Linked DNA regions of Saccharomyces cerevisiae S288C. Each later gene encodes a partner of the first gene's protein in a complex. Each region holds a gene or a part of one and is shown in the gene's direction. Other genes may lie near its edges.

Region 1 (2,708 bases):
AAATTCAAAGGATTATTGGCTTGTGCATTAACTGGTAAAGGCGCATTTGCGTTGGTTACTGCAGTTGCAGTTGCCATAATAGTGGGTGACATGCCATCAGATAACACATTTGGATTCTCATCATCAAAAGGAGAGACTTCATTTGATGACCTTTCATATTCATAATAACGATTGTTATTGTGGACAACTTCGTTATCAATTTCGAAATTTTGTTCCTGTGAAAACCGTTGCTGTTGTGAATCATTTCGCTGCTTTGTCTGGAATTGAGTTGGTTGCTGTTGAATACGCTGATAATCAAAAATTCCGTCATTCTCGTAAAAGAACGAATCATTAGGCTCTCGTGTAAAGTCGGATGGTAAAAGAGTAAAATTACCATTCATAGGATACACAGCATCGCCAAAGTTTTGAGGGCCACTCGCATAAGTTTCTTGGTAAGGGCCGGAAGAACTGGACTGTTGATACATTGCAAAGTCATCGGAAGAAGGAAAAGGAGGGAACATGTTATTATTGTTATTATTATTACTGATATTATTATTGTTATTGTTATTGTTATTGTTATTATTATTGTTATAAGAAACCACCATGTTTTAATGCAATTGAAGTAGTATGTGATGGTGAAGAAAAAAAAAAATACAACGATAGTTCTTTGTTTTTCTTTAGGAAATATCTGAATAGAAAAGGCTTCAACGACCAGAATTGAAAAAATAAAATAGTATTAGCAAAGAAAAATATGATATTTTTTTTCAAAAAAAAAAAGAGTGTCCTTGAGAATTGAAGTTGGAAACGGATATTAATTAGACAAAAAAAATGATGAAGAAAGATAAAGTGAAAAATATGAGGCTGGAATGGACAGTTGAACCAATTAAGGAGCCTAATTGGTAAAGCAGAACAGGTGAGTCAGAAGACTTAAAAAGGGGCAAATATCAAATAACGGAAGAACGAAGAAAATAGAAGAATACAATGTTCAAAAGAAATGAAGCGTATGTGTATCTAAAGGAAAGGTACAGAGACTATCAGTTCTAGAAATTGTAAATTGGTAAAATAAACAGAGAAAGGAAGCTTAAGGAGAGAATTCAGTGGGGAATGTGACTCTGTGAAAATAATGTATAAGAGTGGGCAACGGTGTTCTCGTAGATATAGCGCTGTGCTGAACCAAGTTTAGTTTTTTTTACTTTCCACCAAAGGCAAAGAAACTGATTAATTTATTGCTGTGACGAAGGGATGGAGTATGATTGCGGTTGTGACTGAATCTCTTTGTAGACTTTCGGACAACCACAAGATCCACTTTCTGGTAAAGTTAATTTCAAGATCGTGTTTTTTTCTGTCTTTTCTTTCTCTTCTCATAGCCAAAATCGTACCACAAGGAAAAAAAGCACCGGGTTACCATGATGGTGGAATCCCACTGTAAGAACATAAGAATGATAAGTACGCAACTGCCACGGCAGTTGGAAGAAAGACATAGTCTGCCCTCATTCGGCGTGTATTATTGGACGTCAAGTTACCTTTTCCAAGTGTTTCCCTTTTTTGTCTTTTGAATTTGTCAATAGGGAGTGAAAGGTCCATAGTTCAAGGGCATTCCAAAAGTGAGGATAAAAAAAGCGTAGTCATAAACACTTCAACGGTGTTGCCGAGAATGACGACGGTCCGGTAGAAGGTGGTGCTTTTATCTATGTATTAGTTATTTACTATCTGCGTAACGAAACTATGATTTTTTTTTTCTCTCACCCAAGCCGAAATTAAAAATTCTGTCTTCGCACTTATTCCAAATAGAAAGGGAATGAATCGTGGAACTATTGGCATTGGGATATAGCCTCGATCTACTCGCATATAACGGCTACGGTTCATAGTACAAATCTCAGAATTTTTCAGCAAGCGAAAGGATTTCAAAGAATGTTTTTACAGACTCTCCGCCTAACTATGCCAAGGATGTTTTTGCACATGAAACCGTCCCCCATAACGATAACAAGGGCCTGCACAGTGCCCAGCCTCCTATCTGTTGCAGCTCCGCAACCAGCTCTTGTTGCAGCTAACAGACCTTTGGTTTTTAACAGAGGTTTCAAGGTCAGAACATCTGTCAAAAAGTTCTGCAGTGATTGCTACTTGGTAAGAAGAAAGGGAAGAGTATACATTTATTGCAAGTCGAATAAAAAACACAAACAGCGTCAAGGCTGAAAGATGTAAATCTCTTCGCTGTTCTCCGTTCGGGTGTTTACAAAATATTCTCATTTTCTAAAATCTGTAAATAATACATATCTATAATATTCTTTTATGTATATGTTAATTTTTTGTATCATTTTTTCCAAATTGATAAACCAACACCTCCGATCAGTAACGTTTTCTCAGAATCAGCATCTTCATCATTGGAAATGATTTCTAATGATCCTGTATCCGCCACAGTGGTACGCTTTTTATCTACCAGTGAAAGCTTGCCTGCGGTAATTTCCCAAGCGCGTATTACTTGATCAACCGATGTGGTAATGACTTCTTTGCCACCATTAATCAACATACCGGACGTTATTGTCGAAGAAGCTGCTGCAGCGATAAAGTCACTTGTTTTTAACGTTACTTTATTCGAGTCATCTAATTTCAGGTTGCTTAACCCTAAACCATTATCATCACCCCCTGTCAAAATTGTGGCGGAAGTTCTTGTAGCATTAGCAACATAGTCTAGGGACTTGACACCAGATTGATGTACCGGCAACTGCGCT
Region 2 (2,674 bases), on another chromosome or scaffold:
GTTCCCAAGAACATAATGAGTATATTCTACAATATTTGACGCACTCCGATGCTGCTAACCACAATAACATCGGCGTTCCAAACAACAATTCACATTCGCTAAATACTCAGCATAACGTTTCTGATCTGGGCAACTCACTTTTAAGACAAGAAGCTTTAGTTGGCAGCTCTTCAACAAAAATCTTCGACGAATTGAAATTTGTACAAAATGGCCCACACGGTTCTCAACATCCTATAGATTTTCAACATGTTGACCATCGTCATCTCAGCTCTAATGAACCTCAAGTACGATCACATCAATATGGTCCGCAACAGCAGCCACCGCAGCAATTGCAATATCACCAAAATCAGCCCCACGACGGCCATAACCACGAACAGCACCAAACAGTACAAAAGGATATGCAAACGCATGAATCGCTAGAAATAATGGGAAACACATTATTGGAAGAGTTCAAAGACATTAAAATGGTGAACGGCGAGTTGAAGTATGTGAAGCCAGAAGATTAGCATATAGATGAAATCAAACTTAGACGTATCTCTCGTCCATTTTCATTACATTTTCATCTTTCTTCATTAATTATATACTGAACATATACGCATCTATACAATTTTGACTTTTTAAAGAAGAAAAAGAAAACAATAGTATACATTCTTTTTTCTACTTTTGTTACAGATAAAAAATCGTTCTTATTATATTACATATATCGGTGCTAAGATCAGGATTTTTTCATGTTCCTTCCCCCTGTTATTTCACATCATCCTTTTGCCGGTAGATTAGGCTGGTGTAAATAGTAGTGCTTTTCTCATACATACAAGACATACGTGAAGATAAGTCCCATTTTCTCTCCCTCTGTCATTAATTTTGAAAGTTCGTTGAGCACTCATGAAAACTGCGTCCTTTTGTTTTTTTGATCTGAAGTAAATATGTGTGAGCAAGATAAGCACACAAAGAATAAAACCATCGAAGTATCCTTTCTTCTTTGTTGTGATTGAAAAAACACATTTTCCCGAGAGTGACATTTGGGACATTCTCTATCAGATCTCGGAAGAGTGGGATCGGAACCAATATCTTGCACCACTCCCGCAGTTTCACCAATGTTGGTAATCAATTCATGCCTGTAGACCAATGGACTGCCCGCTTCTTCTACATACGAGCATGTTCTGCATTCAAATAACAACCGGTTATTTTCTTTATCCTCACGAGGGTACAACATATTGTTGCAGTCACGACAAAATCTAAACGTAGTCATAGCAGTTTTAAGGGGAGTTTAACTTGCTCTTTTGGCTAGATTTTGTAACTTTCGTTCTACCTAGAATCTGCTCTTGTTCCATTTGACTTACTCTTTAACGCTATTCACCAAAACAAAATTTTTCAACTTACCCGCCCTATGTCTTGAAGTCCAATAAAACAACTCAAACTAATGGCAAACAAGAACTCGGTAAGTTCTGGAAGGAACAGGACAAGCAGCCCGTCAGCAGCAAACACAGTCAATTAAATAAGCGCCCAGTATGTCCTTACGTATACTAGCGAAGAGATCTTCTTCTATCTGGATGAAAACGCGCGTTACACCAGCGCTAATTTCTCCTATTACTATCACAACCCGTTTCAATTCTACGACTACAACAGCACCATCACATAAGGATGATGTAAGGCCAGTTGATCCTAAAATTTCTAAAATTGTACAGGACATTTCACAATTGACTCTTTTGGAAACTTCCAGTTTAATCAACGAGCTGAAAACCGTATTGAACATTCCAGAAATTTCCATGCCTATGGGCGGATTCATGGCAGGCGCTGCAGGCGCAGGTGCTGGTAATGTACCTAGCTCCACTGGTGAAGCTGGTAGTGGTGCTGAAGAAGAAGCTAAGCCTGAGGCAAAGACCGTGTTTACGGTGAAGTTGGACTCGTTCGACACGAAGACTAAGGCTAAAGTCATCAAGGAAGTCAAGGGATTATTGGGGCTTTCATTAGTTGAAGCTAAGAAATTCGTTGAAGCTGCACCAAAGGTCTTGAAAGAAAATGTCGCCAAGGATGATGCTGAAAAGATTAAGAAAACCTTGGAAGACTTAGGAGCTAAGGTCAGTTTAGAATGATTTTAAAACTGTAGCAATCTACCAATCGTGTTAATCAAAATAGTCTGTTTTCTCTTCGAGAAAATAAGGAATATATCATGTAAATATGTTTAACTCTTTATTCTTCTTTCGTCCTGCCTTTTATATATTTTGCCACATCGCTTCTTGCAAGTAGATGTATAAAAATGATTGATTTCCTTATTATTTTCTATAGTATCTTCAACTTCATTATGGCATTCGTTTTCGTGTTATAAGTATTTCAGACGGGCTAATCTATCACTTCATAAATCTACTTTTCCAACTTACAAAAGCGGTTGCTTTTCTTCGAAATATAAAGCCCACCAACCATAAGAATAAAGAACAAGAGCAGGAGCGAAACGAAAGAGAAGATAAAGATTGTACCTTTTTGCTCCTGATTTTTTTTTGATTACGCTACGGTTAGTTGAGAGAATGTCCACTGCTGTGACTTTTTTTGGCCAGCATGTCTTGAACAGAGTTTCGTTCTTAAGATGTTCGAAAGAGTTCATCAAAAAATCATTGAACCATGACTCTACCGTTTTTATCCCATTTATCGAAGGGGAAGCCCTCATTTCGCCCGAAAA
Region 3 (2,697 bases), on another chromosome or scaffold:
GTTGAGTACGACCACCCAGGATATCAATGAAACAATCGAAGGCGTTAAAAATACGGTTAAATTGAAAAAATCGTCCGCTAGAAGGAAATTGGAAGAACTAAATAGAGTTCTGAAAAACAATCCATATTTCAATTCAAATGTGAACGTACAGAATTCGAGACTCAAAGATGCTGTACCGTTCACGCCGTTTAACGGTGATAGAGAAGCACACCCAAGGTTTACGTTGAAAGGTTCAGTATACAATGACCCATTCATCAAAGATCTTGAGCACAGGAAAGAATTTATTGCGTCTGGGTTCAACACTAATTATGCGTACGAAAGGGTGTTGACAGAGGCATTTATGGGCTTAGGATGTGTTATATCCGAGGAGCTTTAAAACATCAGGATAGTGTGCAACGTGGCATAAGCTATGTAATCAACTACTTTTTATTTTCTATGTACGCATATACATGCATTCACGATCTGTTTCAGTGTTCAGAAAAAAGGCACCTACTGCTACGGTTGGCCCATACCTTTATTCTTTGTTCTTGTTACAAACGAGTGTGTAATTACCCAAAAAGGAAATTTACATGTTAAATGAAACCCAGTAATCAGAAAAAACAGTTAAGAAACCTAAAATGGTAGAGATAAAGATACAGATTCAGTGGTTGCTGAAAATCAAGTAAAAAAATGAAATAGAGTCTTCATATATAAACCGCCAGAAATGAATTAATGAGAGGGATCTGTAACTGTTTCTCGGATAAAACCAAAATAAGTACAAAGCCATCGAATAGAAATGCAACCATCTACCGCTACCGCCGCTCCAAAAGAAAAGACCAGCAGTGAAAAGAAGGACAACTATATTATCAAAGGTGTCTTCTGGGACCCAGCATGTGTTATTGCTTAGTTTCTGCGTACAAAAACGTTGTTCTCCCTCCTTTATCTTCCTTTTCCGCTACACCAATATATCATGTTTGTTCGTAATATTTCTTTTTAGACCTAATAATAAATATCCTAAGTAACTATATTATATAAAATATTTTGATACCCTGTACCTGCTTTTGTTATCGTTGTACATCCATGCACACGCTCATATATATATATATATATATATATATGTATATGTACATATACCGCTTACCACCTACCGTGAAGTATATGTAAGGGTCTTCGCACCCGGATATCCCTTGTGGGATCTTGGATGCGGATGGTGAGTGTAAACAGGCCTCATAAAGCTGTCTCTGTGTGCGGAAGATGTCGTTTCATCGGCTTCGACCTCCTCCTTATCTTGCTTCATTGTTTCTTCGTAAGAGGGCGGATCTACGGGCAGCGGGGTCGCTGTCTCCTTGTATGCATGCTTATTTATATCACTCTTTCCGCTATCCATCATAATCTGTTTTTGTTTATGTGCTTTGAATACTCAACACATAAAATAATATCCAGTTAATTGTCGTCTGTCCATTGACGCTTTGCCTTTGTCCCTTTAGACTGTCTTTATTGTGAAATATGCACGGCTGAGAATTACGTATACAGTGACTATCGTATGGGGCGACAAAAGTTCCCAGCGAGAAACAAGATGAAGCAGACTGGGGCCTGCCTGTATGGAGGGAAGCATAAGTTAATATACCTCCAGATATTTGCAGATTAGGATACTGAACTGACGAAGACCTACGCTACACAACGAAGATAACACATGCTGGCACAAACATTCAAAAAACCACACAGAGCCGTTCTAGAACAGGTATCTGGGACCACGGTCTTCATCAGAAATAAGAGAACAAAGAGCAAGAGCTCACTGTCACCTTTGGCACAAAGGGTCGTCACGCAGTTGAGTGTGATGTCTGCAAGCAGAAAGCAGCCCAAGTTGCTGAAGCTGGCGCGTGAAGACCTGATTAAACATCAGACCATTGAGAAGTGTTGGTCAATTTATCAGCAGCAACAACGGGAGCGCAGAAATTTACAGTTGGAATTACAATATAAGAGCATTGAGAGATCTATGAACCTTCTACAAGAACTCAGCCCTCGTCTGTTTGAGGCTGCCAATGCTTCCGAGAAGGGCAAGCGATTCCCGATGGAAATGAAGGTGCCCACTGACTTCCCCCCAAATACGTTATGGCATTATAACTTCCGAAAATGATAGCGTGAGCGAACGCTTGACTGTCTCCTGCTGTAAATAACTGATGATCAATAGAATGCCACGTATATATGGACTTATATAATTATATGTACATAGACATATAAAGGGCATGTGGTAATTATGACATGAACTGTATCACTATTGACGTTTTTTTTACTGCTTTTTCCCATCCCTGCAAGCGAAAAAAAAAGCAAGCTGACTCTTGTATAAACTGCAAGGACTCATTGATTAAAAGTAGATTTACATTACAGACTAAAGGAAAAGGCAAACTATACCGGCTATACCACATTCGTTCAAAAATGCCCTCTACCACGCTACTGTTTCCGCAGAAACATATTAGGGCCATTCCAGGCAAGATATACGCGTTCTTCAGAGAGCTCGTCAGCGGAGTTATTATATCCAAGCCAGATCTAAGTCATCATTATTCTTGTGAAAATGCGACAAAGGAGGAAGGCAAAGATGCAGCAGATGAAGAAAAGACTACCACAAGTTTGTTTCCCGAATCAAATAATATAGACCGTTCTTTAAATGGTGGCTGCTCTGTGATCCCTTGCTCCATGGATGTCAGCGATTTGAACACG

Evidence for each region. The genes of interacting proteins can lie anywhere in the genome.
Region 2: RTC6 (region 1) and MNP1 share a complex: the UniProt entries of both Saccharomyces cerevisiae proteins name them as parts of the mitochondrial large ribosomal subunit.
Region 3: RTC6 (region 1) and MRPL28 share a complex: the UniProt entries of both Saccharomyces cerevisiae proteins name them as parts of the mitochondrial large ribosomal subunit.

The regions. Positions count from the first base shown.
Region 1 is NC_001148.4:197,205-199,912, forward strand, and holds RTC6 (mitochondrial 54S ribosomal protein bL36m RTC6), read left to right. Parts: upstream 1-1,890; coding exon 1,891-2,172; downstream 2,173-2,708. Other genes in the region: MRN1 (Mrn1p), read right to left, coding at 1-584; tRNA (34-2'-O)-methyltransferase regulator RTT10, read right to left, coding at 2,291-2,708. UniProt on the Saccharomyces cerevisiae protein: Component of the mitochondrial ribosome (mitoribosome), a dedicated translation machinery responsible for the synthesis of mitochondrial genome-encoded proteins, including at least some of the essential transmembrane subunits of the mitochondrial respiratory chain.
Region 2 is NC_001139.9:373,579-376,252, forward strand, and holds MNP1 (mitochondrial 54S ribosomal protein bL12m MNP1), read left to right. Parts: upstream 1-1,508; coding exon 1,509-2,093; downstream 2,094-2,674. Other genes in the region: DNA-binding transcription factor AFT1, read left to right, coding at 1-506; DNA-directed RNA polymerase II core subunit RPB9, read right to left, coding at 881-1,249; NPY1 (NAD(+) diphosphatase), read left to right, coding at 2,523-2,674. UniProt on the Saccharomyces cerevisiae protein: Component of the mitochondrial ribosome (mitoribosome), a dedicated translation machinery responsible for the synthesis of mitochondrial genome-encoded proteins, including at least some of the essential transmembrane subunits of the mitochondrial respiratory chain.
Region 3 is NC_001136.10:1,384,401-1,387,097, forward strand, and holds MRPL28 (mitochondrial 54S ribosomal protein mL40 MRPL28), read left to right. Parts: upstream 1-1,672; coding exon 1,673-2,116; downstream 2,117-2,697. Other genes in the region: TFIIH/NER complex subunit TFB3, read left to right, coding at 1-376; MFA1 (mating pheromone a), read left to right, coding at 776-886; CMI8 (Cmi8p), read right to left, coding at 1,124-1,366; STP1 (Stp1p), read left to right, coding at 2,416-2,697. UniProt on the Saccharomyces cerevisiae protein: Component of the mitochondrial ribosome (mitoribosome), a dedicated translation machinery responsible for the synthesis of mitochondrial genome-encoded proteins, including at least some of the essential transmembrane subunits of the mitochondrial respiratory chain.